Linked DNA regions of Caenorhabditis elegans. The protein of the gene in region 1 purifies or fractionates together with the protein of each later gene. This does not show direct contact. Each region holds a gene or a part of one and is shown on either strand. Other genes may lie near its edges.

The links. The genes of interacting proteins can lie anywhere in the genome.
Region 2: the proteins of par-6 (region 1) and lgl-1 purify together in Caenorhabditis elegans (affinity purification with western blotting; 3 studies listed by BioGRID, with this or other methods). This does not show direct contact.

The regions. Positions count from the first base shown.
Region 1 is NC_003279.8:12,667,311-12,675,575, reverse strand, and holds par-6 (Partitioning defective protein 6), read right to left. Parts: upstream 6,197-8,265; 5' UTR 6,119-6,196; intron 5,951-6,118; coding exon 5,817-5,950; intron 5,285-5,816; coding exon 5,191-5,284; intron 4,261-5,190; coding exon 4,069-4,260; intron 3,322-4,068; exon of another isoform or gene 3,256-3,321; intron 3,220-3,255; coding exon 3,122-3,219; intron 3,053-3,121; coding exon 2,932-3,052; intron 2,882-2,931; coding exon 2,788-2,881; intron 1,728-2,787; coding exon 1,531-1,727; 3' UTR 1,129-1,530; downstream 1-1,128. Other genes in the region: T26E3.4 (RWD domain-containing protein), read right to left, coding at 6,842-6,898, 7,612-7,715. UniProt on the Caenorhabditis elegans protein: Necessary for apicobasal and anterior-posterior asymmetries associated with cell adhesion and gastrulation during the first few cell cycles of embryogenesis. Required for localizing/ maintaining par-3 at the cell periphery.
Region 2 is NC_003284.9:864,821-873,676, reverse strand, and holds the start of lgl-1 (Lethal giant larvae homologue 2 domain-containing protein), read left to right. Parts: upstream 1-2,587; 5' UTR 2,588-2,678; coding exon 2,679-2,765; intron 2,766-3,016; coding exon 3,017-3,254; intron 3,255-3,608; coding exon 3,609-3,719; intron 3,720-4,066; coding exon 4,067-4,305; intron 4,306-4,351; coding exon 4,352-4,548; intron 4,549-4,693; coding exon 4,694-4,848; intron 4,849-4,899; coding exon 4,900-5,084; intron 5,085-5,961; coding exon 5,962-6,192; intron 6,193-6,240; coding exon 6,241-6,733; intron 6,734-6,912; coding exon 6,913-7,170; intron 7,171-7,321; coding exon 7,322-7,554; intron 7,555-7,758; coding exon 7,759-7,912; intron 7,913-7,964; coding exon 7,965-8,071; intron 8,072-8,196; exon of another isoform or gene 8,197-8,320; intron 8,321-8,462; coding exon 8,463-8,600; 3' UTR 8,601-8,856. Other genes in the region: Putative serine protease F56F10.1, read right to left, coding at 1-36, 86-318, 559-746, 793-922, 975-1,072.

The sequences.
Region 1 (8,265 bases):
CGGGAAGCACTAACCCCACCCGGGTGGGGTGTATTGTTGTGCTCAAAAATTTATGAGAACCCAACAGAGCGGGGCCAATATATGAAGCCTCCCCTCTCTCTCCTCGCTGTTGGGGTCCTAACGGCCGCCGAAAAAAAAAATAGTGAGTGAGAAGTGGAGCGTTGTGGAAAGGGATTTGAGTGTTCTCGACTTCTCGTGTGTTTACGAGCGACGTGTTGCAAATTTTGACAAACTGACTGACATGTGTCACTGGGGCAAACTGACCGGAAAATGAGTGTGTAAGAGAATTATCACCTGAAAACACGCCGGATTTCAGAGGTTTTAAGTTTGGAAGTTGCTTTCAAACTCGTTTAAATACGAGTATAAAGGCAAAATTTTGAATTTCAAACTGTTTTTCAGAAATTTGTCCGAGTGGCTCAGTGCGATTTTCGACGGCTACCACTCACAAGACCAGGGTTCGAGTCCCCATAGTGGCATATATTTTTATTAGAGTGTATATGACTAATTCAAGAGCGCTGAGTGTAAAAAACAATGTTTCCCAAGCTGAAAAGTGTAAAAATGTCGGAAAACTACGAATTTTCTCATTCTTGTAGGAAATCAACTGAAACTTCAGATTTGCACAGATTTTATAACATTAAATCATCAAAAAATCACTCAAAGGTAACATTTTATTACAGACTTTTCATTACTGGGCACTTTTCAAAAATGCTGTACAAATGGCGCAGTGGGATTTTCGACGAAAAAGCTTCCAGTCAAAGGACCGTGGTTCGAGTCTCCACTGTGGCAAACTTTTTTCCATAGTGTTGTTAGGCTAAACTTTCAATTCTCAACCCAAAAATTATAATATCAATTCCTAAACAGCAGAGAAAAACCTTGAAAAATAAGAATTTGAGAATAATCAGCGGAATATCGGCTGAAAATGTAGATTTTCTCAGTTTTTAAAGCCTTAAATCGTCAAGAACTCAATAAAATTCAAATTTACCCGAAATTATGTCATTTCTGGGAAATTGTCAAAAATGTCCAAATGGAGCAGTGGGATTTTCGACGAAAAAGCTTCCAGTCAAAAGGCCATGGTTCGAGTCCCCGTAATGGCAACATTTTTTTCACAATGCTGATCTCTCAAAGCTTGAAATAAATAATTTATTCTCACTAATAATGTGAATTTCAGGGGAAAAATTGTATGTCGTGTCTGTTGTCAAAAAATTTGAGCCAAAGTTCGAAAAAAAAAGTATGGGCTCAGAGAGCTCTGAAGGGGAAAAATCACATAAAAAGGGCGAAAGGAAGGCACATTTTGGGGCGAGAAACGGGGGAAATAAAAGTGAAAATTGTGCGCAAAAAAGTGAAGAGAAAGCCGACAAATTTGATTAAAAATTAGGAGAAAAAGGGGAAAATAAATAAATTAAGCGGTTTTGGTTGTGTGTGTGTGTGGTTTTAGCGAGAATATAAATAATATAATTATGTATAAAAATGGTCACATTTTGTGGTTTTTTTTTCTGAAAAAATCGAGGAAAAATGGCTGAAAAGAGTTTTTCAGTCCTCTCCACTGTCCGAATCATTTGCGTCGTGCTGTTTCGGATGATAACTGCCGTCGGAGCTTCCGTTCATTTTCATCGGGCGCTGAATTCCACCTGTAGCGGCTGCGGTGGCGGCCGACATCTCACTGGCGTTCGGTGTTCCTTGTTGTGACGGTCCTCGTGACAGTGTGTTTCGTTGGTTGGCAGGTTTTACTGGAAAATATTGGGATTTTTTGAATTTTCAAAAAAAAAATAAATTTGAAATTTTTTTTTCGAAAAAAAATTTCTGAAAATTTTGTTTTTTATAATTACTACAGAATTTAAAATCAGCTCGCTGAGAGCTTCCAAACAAGTATAATCATGACTAGGCTATGTTTATTTTGAACATTTTCCGAAATTTTGGGTCCCGCCACGAAAACTGGGTTACTGTAGGTTGGGATTTTAGTGGGGGACCCAGTTTTCGCGATTTCATTTAGATTTTTCGATTTCAGCTTACCGAGCTTTCAAATAAGTATAATTATGACTAGGTTGGCGGACATTTAAAATTTTCCAAAATGTTGGGTCCCACCGCGAAAGCCAATTTCGTGGTCGTGCCCCAAAATTGAAATTTTAGATTTTTGTTAAATAATTCAACTTCCGCTCGCCTAGAGCTTTAAAATAAACATAATCAAGACTAGGTTATGCGAAATTTTAAATTTTCGGACCCCACCACGAAAACTGGGTTACTGTAGGCAGCGATTTTCGTGGTGATACCCAATTTTCGCTATTTCAATTAGATTTTTCGATTTCATCTTACCAAGAGCTTCAAAACTAGTATAATAATGACTAGGTTTGGCGAAAATCTAATTTTTTCCAAAATTTTGGGTCTCATCGCGAAAATCAGTTTCGTGGTCGGGCCCAAAAATTGAAACTTCTCAAATTTTTTAGTAAATTCGTTTTCAGCTCATCAAGGGCTTTCAAATAAGTATAAACACGACAAGATTGCGTCACATGCGAAAATTTTGGGTCCCATCGCGAAAATGGGTTACTGTAGTTTATCATTTTCTTGGCGAGACCCGAATTTTCCAAGTTTGACAGAATATAGCCATGATTATACGCATTTGAAAGCTCTCGGTGTGCTGAATTCAAATTTTCTAATGAAATTTTTTAAAAAGTGGGTTCTCGCAATTTTCGCGGTGAGACCCAATTTTTTTCAAAATAATCTTAACCTAGTCATGATTATACTTATTTCAAAGCTCTCGGCGTGCTGAATTCAAATTTCCGGATTATATACCAGTAATAATCAAGTTATGAGCATTGGCGACCATCATATCAGTGACCTGATCCAGCGTCTTTCCGAGAACCTCAATTCCATTCACCTCGAGCACCTGAAAACCGGAATTTTTAGATTAAAAACTCTGAAAATTCCATTAAAAACCTCGTCATTAACACCAAGAAGGCCTGTGGACTCGGCGAGCCCACCATCGACAAGCCGGGAAATGAAAATTCCTGAAACTTTGACGACGCCTCGTTCTGTCACTCGAACCGATGTTCCGTCACTGAAAAAAGAATTGCAGATTTTTGGGATTTTCTGGCAAGAAATCTGAAATTTCCAGAAAAATCGATACCGAATATAGAATCCAAGTGGTCGTTCTTGTCCGTGCTTGCAGAGACGGACACGGCGATGAGCTTCTGGCACAATGTCCACGTCGATGATTGCAGAGACCTGCAAAATTGAAAATTTTTAAAAATTAATGGGAAATTTGAATTCAGCTCGTTAAGGGCTTCAAAATAAGTATAATCATGACTAGGTTTTGCCAATTTTGAAAATTCTCCTAAAATTTGGGTCCCGCCACGAAAAGTGACGAAATTTTAGAAAATTACTGCGAAATCTGAATTCAGCTCACTGGGAGCTTTCAAACAAGTATAATGGAATGACTAGGTTCCGCGAACTTTGAAAATTGTTGGTCTCGCCACGAAAATGGGATTACTGTATGTTGGCATTTTCGTGGTGGTGGGATCCAATTTTTGAGATTTTTATCAATATTTTTGAATTGGGAGCACTGTCAGCTTTAAAACTAGTATAATCATGGGTTCCGTTAACTTTGAAATATGCGGGTCCCACCGCGAAATTGGGGTTACTGTAGGTTGGCACTTTCGTGGCGGGACCAGATTTTTGCAATTTCATGAGTTCAACCGAATTCAGCTCACCGAGAGCTTTCAAATAAGTATAATCATGACTGGGCTCCGGAAAATTTGAAGATTTCCAAAATTTTGGGTCCCGCAGCGAAAATTTCCTTCGTGGTGGGACCAAAAATTGAAATTTTCAAAATTTTTTCCGGAATTTGAATTCAACTCATCAATAGCTTTCAAATAAGTATAATCATGACTAGGTTCTGCGAAATTTGAAATTTTTGGGTCCCATCACGAAACGGGATTACTGTGGTTTCGATTTTTCGTGGCGAGACCCAACTTTTTTCAAATCCATCGTAACCCGGTCATGATTATACTTATTTCGAAGCTCTCAGCGAGCTGAATTCAAAAATTCCACTTTTTTCGCTGTGAGACCCATTACCTGTCGAAAATCTTCGGGATTCGAGATTGAATAACTGCGTTTCGGTGGTTTTTGTGCCATAAGTGATGAAATTCCCTTCCATCGTTTATCAGAGTCTGTACCATAACCATATTTCTCTTCCCATGATTCACCGCGGCGTTGAATGAGCAAACGGAGCAGTGGGCGAGCCGATTCGAACGATTTTCGGAGGTTCTGCAAAAAAAATAATGGTAGTTTTGGGATTTTATCGATTTTTGGGATTTTTCTAGGAATTTATCGATTCTTTTTGTGATTTTTATTGATTTTTTGGGGATTTTTTACCGAATTTTTGTGATTTTTCAACAGATTTTTATCGATTTTTTATCGATTTTTTCCGATTTCTTGGGGTTTTGTATTGATTTTTTAAAGCGATTTTTGAGTTTTTTTGTAATTTTTTATCGATTCTTTTTGTGATTTTTATTGATTTTTTGGGGATTTTTCACCGAATTTTTGTGATTTTTGTTTCAATTTTTTGAGACTTTTTTCGATTTTTTTAAATCAATTTTTTGTAGTTTAGGACTTTTTATCGATTTTTTAAGATGTTTAGTGATTTTTTAGCGAAATTTTGTGATTTTTATCGATAAGTGATGTTTTAGTAATTTTCAGCATTTTTTAGTGAAAAATATCAATTTTAGGTCATTTTTACTCGATTTTTCTCGATTTTTTCACCGAAAAAATCAATTTTCTTCAGTTTTCCCTACTAACATTCAGATTTTTATAGACTTTTTATCGATTTTTATCGATTTTTTTTTGAGATTTTTATCGATTTTTTGAGTTTTTAAATCAATTTTTAATTGATTTTTTGTGATTTTTTTCGACTTTTCTGTGAGTTTTCAAATCGATCGATTTTTTGTCCTCGTAGGAGACACCCGAATATTAAATCGATTTTTTTATTATTATTATTTTTATTTTTTAACGATTTTTGAGCTGTTTTAAAAATCGATTTTGACTAACTTTAAGCTGAAAAAATCAATTTTCGAGACATTTTAATTGAATTTTTAGCATTTTTTAGTGAAAAATATCAATTTTATGTCATTTTTACTCGATTTTTTCGTTTTTTTTTTCACTGAAAAAATCAATTTTCTTCAGTTTTCCGCTACTAACATCGTCATTTGTGATTGGTAGAAGATCACCGCCAGTCGAGTTGTAGCACAGTGTGAATTGGACACTTTCCAGGTGATGAAGCTTCTCGACAAGGCTGAAAATATCGATTTTTACTTGAAAAATTGAACTTTTACGGGAAAATTGCTTCAAAAATCGAGTTTTCAGGTAAAATATCATTTTCCGCTCGTTTTTGGTAAAAAAAAACACAAAAAAAAAGACGAATTTTTCGATTTTCCGGCTGAAAATGGCGAAAATTCGATTTACGCATGATTTTAGCCCTAAAAATGCCGATTTTGGCCAAGTTTGGTTTGGAAAATAGATTTTTTAGGGTTTTCAAGGTAAAAATCGGAAAAAATCTGATTTTTTCAAGTAAAAAAAATCATTTTCCGCGTATTTTAGGACAAAAAACGCCGAATCCTTGGATTTTTCAGCTGAAAATCGTTGAAAATCCGATTTTCTGAATTTTAAGGGATTTTATGCCTAAAAATGACAATTTCAGTAACTTTTGGGTAGAGAAATCAATTTTTAACGTTTTTCTACGTCAAAAACATGGGTTTTGACGTATTTTAGGTAAAAAAAAAACGCTGAATTTTTCGATTTTTCGGCTAAAAATGGCCAAAAATCACCTCCGGAACCCATCGTAAGAGACACCAGACGCAGAATGCATTGGTATTGAGAAACGACGCCATTCAGAATCAAATTTCGATTTGACTTGAAGTGTTGAATGATGATTTTGATGGTAGGAGCCGTTGTAGGACATCTGAAAATTTGGATTTTTCGGGTTTTTTGAGCTGAAAAACGCGATTTTTAACAGTTTTCAGCTGGAAAATTGGAAATTCCGGCTTTTTTTGAGTAGAAAAATCGCATTTTTCGACGTTTTCCATACTTTTAAGCTGAAAAATTATGATTTTCGCAAATTAAAACTCACAATTACAAGTTACAGGTGCAGCTCCGCGTTGAGCCGGAAATAATGCACAATTTTCGTGGGAAATATCGATTTTTTCGGCTGAAAATTGGATTTTTTCACATTTTTGAACCTTTTTTAAGTGAAAAAATTATTAAGTGAATAATTTTTGAATTTATTAATCAAAAATCGGATTTTAAATAATTATTCAATGGAAAAAATTGAATTTTAATTTAAAAGTTAGAGTTTTGAACAGTTTTCAACGGAAAAAAAAACTGAATTTGAGTTGGAAAATAGACATTTTTAGGAAATTTGAGTAGAAAAATTGAATAAAAATTCCAAAAAATGGCAATTTTGAACATTTTTCTAGCGGAAAATGAAATTTCAAGCTAAAAATCGCATTTTTTGCGATTTTTACAAAAAAAACCTTCAAAACACCAAATTTCCGCTGAAAATTGAGTAAAAATGAGTCACAAAACTCTCCAAAAAAGTTTGATAAAAACTGATGACTCATCGCCAAAAATTTTCAATAAAAAATCGATAAAAAAGCTGATAAAAACAGCGAAAAATTCAAAAAAAAAGGTTAAAACTAAAACAAATCTTTACGCAAAAAAATGGAAAAAATTGAAACGAAAAACCGTGAAAATCAACAAAAACTGGGGGGCAAAAAAATGGATAAATTACGGGATTTTTCGCCGAAAAAATGGCGAAAAATCACAGAAAAATGCAATAAATTGAGGGGAAATCCTATTCTTCATCGTCTTCTTCTTCTTCTTCGGAATCCATTTCAAGACCTTCGAGTTCCTGGAAAAAATGGGTTTTTTTGAGTGGAAATTTGAGATTTTTTGGGGTTTTTTAGGCTAAAAAATGGGATTTTTGGAGGTTTTTTATGTTGAAAATCGGAAAATTTGATCATTTTAGGCAGTAAAATCGAATTTTCATCTTGAAATTAATCAATTTTATGAGAAAAACTCGAAATTTCGAACAATTTTTGGAATAAAATTGCAATTTTTCGCGTTTTCAAGTAGCTTTTCACTGAAAAATGTGGGAATTTTGGCGTTTTTTCCATAGAAAATCGGAATTTTAGTGAGAAAATTTCAATTTTTTGATAGAAAATATGAAGTTTATCACAAAAAATTCACTTTTAAAGTGGAAAATCGTGAATTTTCAGCCAAAAATGCCAAATTTTGTAAATTTTGAAGCTTTTTCTTCGGAAAAATCCAGATTTTTTGCATTTTTTTTAGCTCAAAAACAGAGTTTTCCATGGAAAAATAAATTTTGAGTAAAAAATGTCTAATTTTTCAGTGAAAAAATGGGGATTTTAGCGAATTTTTACATTTTTCCAGGTTTTAAAAGGGAACGTTTCAAAAAAGAAAAAAAAATTTTCGGATTTTCACCGAAAAAAACTCGAAAATCGACAATTTCCAATGAATTTGCATGTTTTTCATGCAATTTTTTAATAGAAAATCGTAAATTTTCAGTAAAAAATCGATTTTTCAGTGGTTTTTTCCAGAAACCTCATTATCAAAGAGGCTCTCATCAATTTCGACTTCATCTTGTGCTCCAATAAGTGTGACGTCAGAGAGATTGAGTGTAGCGTCACGAAGGAATAGTTGACGTCCTGGAAAATATTGGTTTTTTTTGAAATTTTCAGCGATTTTCAGACGGAAAATCACATTTTTTGTGAGATTTGGAGCCAGAAAATGGGATTTAAATGAATTTTTCGCCTGAAAAAGTTCAAAATTTCGATAATTTTGGCGTAGAAAATCGCAAGAATCGGGATTTTTATGATTTTTTCCACTAAAAAGACGGAAAATAGCATTTTTTCGGGATATTGCGAGTTTTTTTGTGAATTTTTCTGAAAAAATGGGGATTTTCCGATAATTTTAACTGCAATTTTCTTCAATTTTCCAATTTTCCGGTTAAAAATCTCTGGTTTTTTACGTTTTTTCGGTTGAAAATTGCACTTTTTAACCATTTTCATGCGTAAAATAGCCTTTTTCTTTGATTTTTAACTGAAAATCTCGAATTTTTTGCATGAAAACCGCCAATTTTTACGTTTTTCCAGGCGGCAACTTGCAATTTTTGGGGTTTTCCGCCCTAAAATCCTCATTTTTCCGCCATTTTCCATGTTAAAAATCGCGATTTTTACAGGTTTTCACTGAAAAATC
Region 2 (8,856 bases), on another chromosome or scaffold:
TTATTCTCAAATCGTCTTCAACAACCATTGCGTACTCTGGAACACTATATATAATTTACAAGTACTAAAAATCTATGTAGATTACCATAGAAATCAAGTTTCAAATTGACAGGAGCACTGCTAGCAACTGAACCCACTGTTAATTGCGGGTATTTTTGCCTGAACCATGCTGCAAGGGAGCCTGGATAACTACCACCAAATGTGACCCATCTTGGATTCTTGAACCCGTATTGTTGATTCATGAACTCTATGAAAAATGCCAAATCGGCGAGGGCTTGTTGAGTGGTTAAATAACGGAGAGAACTCGTTTGCATGTCTCTGAAAAAGAGCACAATTGTTCTTTAATTTTTTAAATGTAGAAAAATATTCCATTTCCCTGATACTTACTTCACATATCTGCTATTTTTTTGAGAAATAAATGCTATTTTTTTGTGAAATAAACACACTTTAATTAACAAGTTGCGCGAAAGATTTTAGGCAATTTTCCAAACCTTACATACTCATTTTTATTCAGAGACTGAACTTAAAAACTTCTCGTTAAAAAAATGCTGCACATACGGAATTGGCCAACTGTCTCCAAAGAATCTGTGCTCCAAATCAAAAACATCGGCTCCGAACTCTTTAGCCCATTGTAGGTACTGAACATTTGGGTTTGCTGCCCATTTTCCATTCTCTGGGCCTTCTCCTCCAATCATTAAGAAAATGATTGAGTTGTTTCTAGAGAATACTGGATTGTAAAAATATTTCTGTAAATTAAGGCAGTTTGAAAAAACTATTCTTTGAATTAATTACCTGATTCCATGTTTTCGTGTTGTATGGATCAAAATGATCCAGCTTCTGGGTGAAATTATGAACTTGCAAATTTGGGTAAGTCTCTTGAATGCTTGCCCCATCAGACGCTGTTAACCGGTCCAAATGGTGACTAGAATTCAAAAAAGAGATTAAATTAAATTTTCATCAAAAAATCTACTTACTTCAACAATGTTTTCCCATTTAGTCTTCCCAAGAAAAATGGAGGTAATTTTGCTTCAATCAGTAAAGGTAGTAGTAAAAGCAATAAATTCCGCAACATTCCTAAATAAAAAAGTTTAAGAATGATATACACCTATACTTTTGCCAAAAAGTGAAAAATGCACAGTTTATCAAGCGGGAATGATTACAAAATCACTATCGTTATCAATTATTTCTGTTTGACTAGTCGCAGATTCGTTTTCAGTCTTTCTAAAGTCATCATCTTGTAAGAAGGAATTGTTGAGAAAAGTAAGAAATTGGAAAACGAGACATTTATGAACAAAAAGGTAATCTGAAAGTTGGTTCCAGTTATTCACTCCGATCCGTGCATGTTTCAGTTTTTGCCGAACATTCCGTCATAAGTGCGGTTCCATGGAAGGCAGGCGCGGTTTCAGGCCTCCAACCTGCCAAGCTTTTGCCTCATTTCTGCATAATTACATGAAGTCAAAGGCTTGATGCTCATTCCACTTAGTGCGAACGGTGGTTCTTCCGCCGCGGCCGACACTTCTTGGGTTCCGCGCCACACTACACAGGAAGCACGGCTCGCGGCGCGAGGCATGCGGTTGTTGTGAAACGGGCGCTGCAGGCGTTTCGTCACCTACGTGAAAGCCCTAAATTGCGAACTTTTTTTTAGGCAAATTCATGATTGGTCAGTAAATACCGCCTAATTAAAATTACATGTATAAACCAGTGTCGATCATTATTTGATTAGTGCGAAGGTTCATTTGGTCAGTGCCAAACTTATCTATGCCAGTGCCAAAATTATTTGGGTCAGTGCGTGCTATTTTTTTTAGCAAAGTCAGAAATTATATGGTGATGTTTATGAGAAAATACAAATTCCGCTCCTGCTAATAAAATGACACTGTAATATCTATTGAATATTCATGATAATAATAAATTCTCCTACCACTGAGATCCCCAAAAATGTTTTATAGCTCATAAAATCCTTCTGCCGCCCATTTTTTAATTTCCGCATTCCCCAGGAGTTAAAATATTCATTGTTTTTCATTAACTGTTTTTTTTCTATAAATATTGATCCCAGTTTTTATATTTTGTTCACTTCAATTTTTTTTCTAATTTTGCCACTTATTTCCCAAATATCAGGACCTTGCCTTTATGTTTAGCAGGCAAGTTCAATTTAATTGAGTCATTGTGTATAACTTAAAAACGCTTCAAAAGTAAACAAAAGTTATGTTTGCTTGTTAATTTGCCATGTACATTAGGTTTGGTTAATTCTAAGTTTGGTCAGTGCAGTAGCAGCAGCAGCTATCTGGGTCAATAGGTACGATAACCTTGAATTACTTGCAATCTGTTCGTGTCCAACACGTTTACACCCTTCGCGCATTTCGCAACACCTGCTAGGGCACCCTATTACCTATCGACCACCCAGCGGTCACTGGTGCGGTTCATTTAGCAACATTCATTCAAATGACTGAGTCACCCCCACCTCTCTTTTCCCTCTCAACCCCACCACAATTGTGCGCAAACAACAAGGGGTGCGTTCCGACTCGGCGTCTCTTCAGTTCACCTGATCTTTTCTCGCTTCTCTCTTTCTCTTCTCCCCGTCCTACTCTCTCGCTTTGGGTCTATTCCTTTCCTTTTTCCGTGTTCACTTATACGGTTCTATGTGACTTTTTTCGGTTTAGACACCTCGAATTTGGGTTAATATGAGCAGCATCTTACGATTTATCCGGTCCAAGTTTTATCACGAACCCGAGGAGCATGCCATAGAACAATATGCGGTTTTCGATGAGGTATGTGTTTAGATTTTGGTTGAACATGTATTTGAAATATTTTGAAACGTTTAAATGTTCTTTTAATTTGCATTAGGTCATCCAGAAAATTTATTTTAAGAATGCTGTAGAATAGCACATAATCAGAAAAATTTTTAAAAAAGTTATACTGGGAACGAAAACTTGTCAAATTTCAACTGAACAATAATTGCCAAATTCGAAATATTTTCTAATTTATTCCCCGCTCATCAGTTCAAAATTATTTATTTTAGGGAAACCGCGGTGGATTCACTTCTGACGTCGTAGCATTTGACTACCACAACGGATGTGTTGTAATTGGATCTAAAAACGGAGAAGTCACATTTTACGGCTACCGAGGAGCTTCATGGACAGTTAGCTTGAGCAAGGACAGTGAGAATAAAGCGAGAATCGAGCACATTTTCTTCATATCCTCAAACATTGCATTGGTTCTTTGTGATGGACAGCTGATTATCCCAATTCATATCAAAGGTTATTTCGTTTTAAAATTATACTAAAATAGGAATGTATGGCAGTTCTTAAAATTTGCCGCACATGCTACAAATTTACAAAAAAAAATTTGATTTCATATTAAAAAATTTGTAGATGAAGTTACTTACTAATAGAAAAGAAAGAACCTAATAAAAAATCTAACGTGTTCCAAGCATTCAGTCAGTAGTAGTAGTCCTACAAAAAAAAATTTTTAAGTCACATTTATCCAAATTTGTTAAGCCTGGCAAATTCTGAAACTTACCAAACGACATGTTTTCAAAATTTCGCCGAACAATTTCGGCAAAATATCGGCTGTAAATTCAATTAAAAGATTTTAAAAATTATATTTTTCAGATGGTGTAATAACAAAAAAGGAGGAACTGCGATTTAACGAAAATCACAAATCAAAATGGGATATAACGCATGTCCAAAAGTTATCAGATGACACATTTGCCCTAGTTTTTTGTAAGTTTTTCATTGAAACTTAGTTTCAAAAAAATTGCACGATGTTGATATAGTTGTGCAAATTAATTTTCAAACTAAAGCGTAAAAGTCTTCCCAGAGAAAAAAAAACAATTAAAAATTGAAAATGGTAAGATTTACAGCAATATGGCATTTCAGTCAAACCAAACTTTCTTTTCAACTTTATCAAATTGACTCCGAAATAAGTGTGAAAAAATATTGAAAAACTGGAAACTAGGTTTACCGTAACAGGAATTTATTTTCAATCAAGCTTCATTATGACGTGAGCAAAACAGAAAGCATTTATGGTTTTGATAGCTTGTAAGTCCAAAAAGTTTCAATTTTTACAGCCATGAATAACACAATATACCGAATCAAATCCAAAACCCTCAAATCAGAAGTTCTCGTCAAAGCTGAAGATTTTGAAAAATGGCTGCCTGACGACACAGAGCTCGCCAGTATAACCTGCTTACCGGAAAAGCCATCAATTTTGATGCTCATTGCGGAAAACGGTTGTGTTGGCGTATTTAACGAATCACAGTTTGTCATGAAGACCAGTCTACGGAACTATGAGGATGAAGCTATACAGGTGTGTTGAAACTTTTTTTTTCTTTTTTTAAATGTGTTCTCTACAGAAACTTCACTGGAGTAGCGAGAAGAAGAAAAATGTAGCTTTTGGCATTTCTTGCAATAATAAATACACAAAATGGGAGTTTACAGTTGGAAAAGACTGTCAGATAAGTGCTCAAGAAGTGAATGTCTACAGTGCGAATCAATTTGGACCCTATCCTTGCCATCAAATTCGACATTTCTCTGTTTGTGCTGATGCGTCGTAAGTTTTCGTTTAAAGTTTTCAAAATAAAGGTTTTGTTTCAAAAATAAAAATAAAAACTCATTTTCATAAAGTCAATTTCATACAAATCGCCTTCTCGGAGTTTCTCTGCTTGGATTTACTATAATTATTTGCCTCATTTCAGGGATCCTAACGAGAACTTCCTCATCTACCAAGGAGGCAAAAGTTCTGGAAAGTACGACGATAGAGATCTGATCACAATTAGCCATGGCGACTTTGTTGAAAAACTGGAGCTCTCATCGGAAATTGTAGGGATTGTTGGTGTCAGTGGTAGTTACGGTACTGAAAATTATTCGAACTATTTTTTTCCTAATTTTGAATATGTTCCAGAAGATTGCAAGAAAAGTGGAGTGGTATTAATATGCACAAAATGCGAGATCATTGGAATCGATTTGGAAAGGGAGTCGTTGAATATGATGCAGCCGAAACATTTTCTTTCGATTAATAATAGTACGCCAACTACCCACTCGAGAGCTATTGAAATTGAGGAAAATGTATGGAATCGTCTTGAATCGGTTAGGTTTTGTTTTTCTTTTTTAACTTTTGGAAAGGGTAATTTCTCATAGTAGGGCAGATAGCTCAGTCGGTAGTGGTGGCCGCTAGCAGTCTGGAGGTCACGAGTTCAAGTCCGGCCTCACCCCCTAGGTTCACCCAGCCTCTATTGGGAAGTGGAGCAATCCACGACTGGATTATCGGCCACAGTCCCCGGCTAGGACGTGACTTAAATTACAGCCCAGAGGGATCACCACCAGGCAGTGTACCTGAATCCCAGATCCGCAGTGCATAGCACTTGAAGAACGGATCGTCCTTTAATCCTTTAATCCTTTTTAATAATAGTACGCCAACTACCCACTCGAGAGCTATTGAAATTGAGGAAAATGTATGGAATCGTCTGGAATCGGTTAGGTTTTGTTTTTCTTTTTTAACTTTTGGAAAGGGTAATTTCTCATAGTAGTGCTAAAATTCGTCATGGTAGTGCTAAATTTTTTATTTGCAAGTTTATATAGAAACATAGAGAAATATTTATACTTTCTAAAAAAATTTAACTTCAAATGCACGTATGTAGAAAATGTTCGAAAACTGCCTAGGAGTCGCAGTGTGCCGCGTAACTGTGCCAACCGGCAAATTGGCTTTTTGAGTCAGTTTTTGAGCACCTTCTCAAAACTTTCAATTAAGACTAAAGTAATATTCAGAAAGTGATAATATTGTTCAGTATGTCTCCACAAAAAAACTTCTATACAACAATGAAAAACTACCTGCTGCTACTGTAGAAAATTCTGAACTTGAAATTCGACAATTTTTACGTTGCGCAAACCTTTTTGACTTGAAAAACATTTTGCATCCTTGTTAAATTTTTATAGTTATTTTAGTCATTTATTATGTTTTCTTCAGGCCAGCAAATCCTATTGGGAGACTAACCAGATGTCAACCAGAGACTGGCCGTTGAACTTTCAAAAGAAGATAGTCACCGACGCGAACCATCAACGAGCTTCTTACCGACAAGTTTATTTGAGTGGTCATTCAAATGGAAATATTTGTATATGGTCTTCCGGTGGAGTTGGAATGTCCTTGATGCTAGTTATCCGCACTTCATTGGAGTTTGACGGCGCATCTAGTTTTGATGTAAGTAACTATTTTAGGAAACAGTGAATATTGTGTGTAAACTTTTAGAACGAAGATTCAAATTACTACAATAGCGACGAGAAACCTGAAAAACCAGTGCGCAAAATTGGCCTCTATGATCCGTTTGATGACGACGAAGAAATGTGTATCACCCGTGTGCACTTTGATCCGAAATCTGGAATTGTGATTGGAACGAATCGAGGTGGCTATGTACTAATGTATGAACTTTGGGATTCTGCGAGAACTCTCACACATTGGGAGGCCACACCGATCAGCTGCAATAATTCTCCGCCAGACACGAGAAAACGAGCGCTAAAGCCTAGGAAAGCAGAATTAAAGTACAATGCGGGTTATCAAATACGGCTTAAAAACGAGAGTGATCTACCGTTGGTGTTCTCAATGCATCCCAGCCACCGAATCACCGATATTGTCTATCTTCACAAGTATCACTGCTTGGCAGTTGGAAGTAACTTTGGAATTGTGATGCTTGATGTAAACTTTGGATATCTTGTCTATGCGAATTCATTCAATGATGACAACAGTGAGTTTTCAGATAATTTGGAAAGAACAAAGTTTGTAGATTGGGGAGTCTGACCCCGGGATGATTGGAAATTGCTAACAATTTTGAAAATTAGCAATTATCGAAACCACCAGTTTTCAAAACCATGAAGCTCGGCCGCCTTTAACATAAAGCATCTTCGAAGTCTACGCTCATTTCAGATGATTCAAGTAATGTCAGTGCCAACCAATTCCAACGATTCAAAAGTCTCAAGAAGTCACTTCGAAAGACGTTCCGACGAAAAAAGAAGGGCACTGAAACATTAATGGATTCAGGAGGTGCAGTGGCTTCATCTTCAAATCATGTGCAGCATGAGACAAGTCCAAAGCGAATTGACGATTTTGAAGAGGAAGAGGTGTTCATGGAGAGACCAATTGAAGCAAGGGAAGAGCTGGGAGTGCTGGATTGCTATGCTGAGAGTAAGTGGAAATCTGAAACGGGGTTTTTTGAAGTGCTCATAGATTAGGTGAAAAGCCTTAAACGTGGTCACATGCTTTTCAAAATCTTCAAATCTTCTGAATAAAAATCAAAAGCAATTCCTATCTCACCCTGAAATTTCAATATTTCCAGATTCCAAAGGAACCGTAACATGTCTCCGAATGATGCGCTTTCCGGTGCTCGACGACAAAAATGTAGATGACATTATAGCTGTGGGGCTCCACGAAGGCTCTGTCTACTTTTACGCAATCAGCGAACATGATGTTGGACTAAGAATGACGTTCAAAGCGGAACAGATTAAGAAACTCTCGATTCCTCACAAGCAACCGGTTGTTAATCTAGATATCACAAATGAGGAAGGATATGTAAGTTGAGATTTGGAGTGTGAATGAAAAAGAGTTGCAAAATTGCCAGTTTTTAGTTTATGCGAATGTAGTCAAAATTCTAGAATTTTTCGTGTCTCCCATGTGTTTTTTTTTCAAATTTCCCGGTGCGCGACTCCGCGGCATTAGCGTATCCCCAGTTAACTCCGTGAAATTATTCATACTCAATTTATTTGGTTATTTCAGTTCTCCGCATCCACTCGAATCGTCGTCATCACCGAGGAGCAGCTGCGAATCTATAATTGTCAGCCGATGGTGAAACGCGACAGTTATAAGATCACTGCGCTGGAAGGGCTGAAGATCAAAAATGGAATGGTGGCTAGGATATTGAATAAAAAGAGTGAGATTTCCTGAATTTGAAAAAAAAACATTTAATATGAATTGAGATTCAGATTCCAACAATTTCGAATCATTTGTGGTTTTGGTAGCAAACGATGGAAGTCTACGGGTTCATTCTGTTCAAAAAGCTTCTTCATTTGAGTCGAGGAAGTTTATAGACGTGAGTAAAGACAGAAAGGTCCCGCCAGGAACCGTTTTATACGATTGTAACTACGTATCTGCCACTTAGACGCATTGAAAGTCTTTCAAGCAACAAACATTTTTATTGACACATTTTTCCGTCCACCTCCGTGCCGTCGATAGCTCAGTTGGTAGAGCGGAGGACTGTAGAGTCAGCAGGTATCCTTAGGTCACTGGTTCGAATCCGGTTCGACGGATTTCTTTTTTGTTTTTGGTTGTTTTTTAAGCCAGCCGCTAGCACGCGCCAAGTGTGCACGTGTTGCCTTCTGAAAATTCTGAAAGGTCAACGCATAGGTGGCGCTGAGAAGTGGTTAAGTTTCCTGCACAATGTCTAATTTTGCTTTTCTCCGTTCTAAACTAGAATTTTTCAGCCAATCGACGTAATGGCACTAAACTCGAGTTGTTTATCACGTGATGGTGACGTGGCATTCCTCATCAAATCCTCCGAACTACAGCGAAGTACGGTGAATTTGAACTTTCGCGGTTGGAGCAGTACGCACAAGTCATAGATGCATTTTTTTTAAAAATCGTTTTCCTGTTGATATATATTAATTTTGTTTGAAATGGTGGTTTTTTTTAAACTTTATTATGTTATTTATTTGCCCTCGGTCTTTGCCTTTTTTGTCAATATATACGTTGCGTATGAAAAACTAATTTTAAACGATTTTTAATTTTTGAAACATGCTACACTATTGCAGGCGATTAGAGAAAATGGAAAAATTCGTATTTTTTGTACGTTTGGAAAAATTGAAGAATCTATAATTT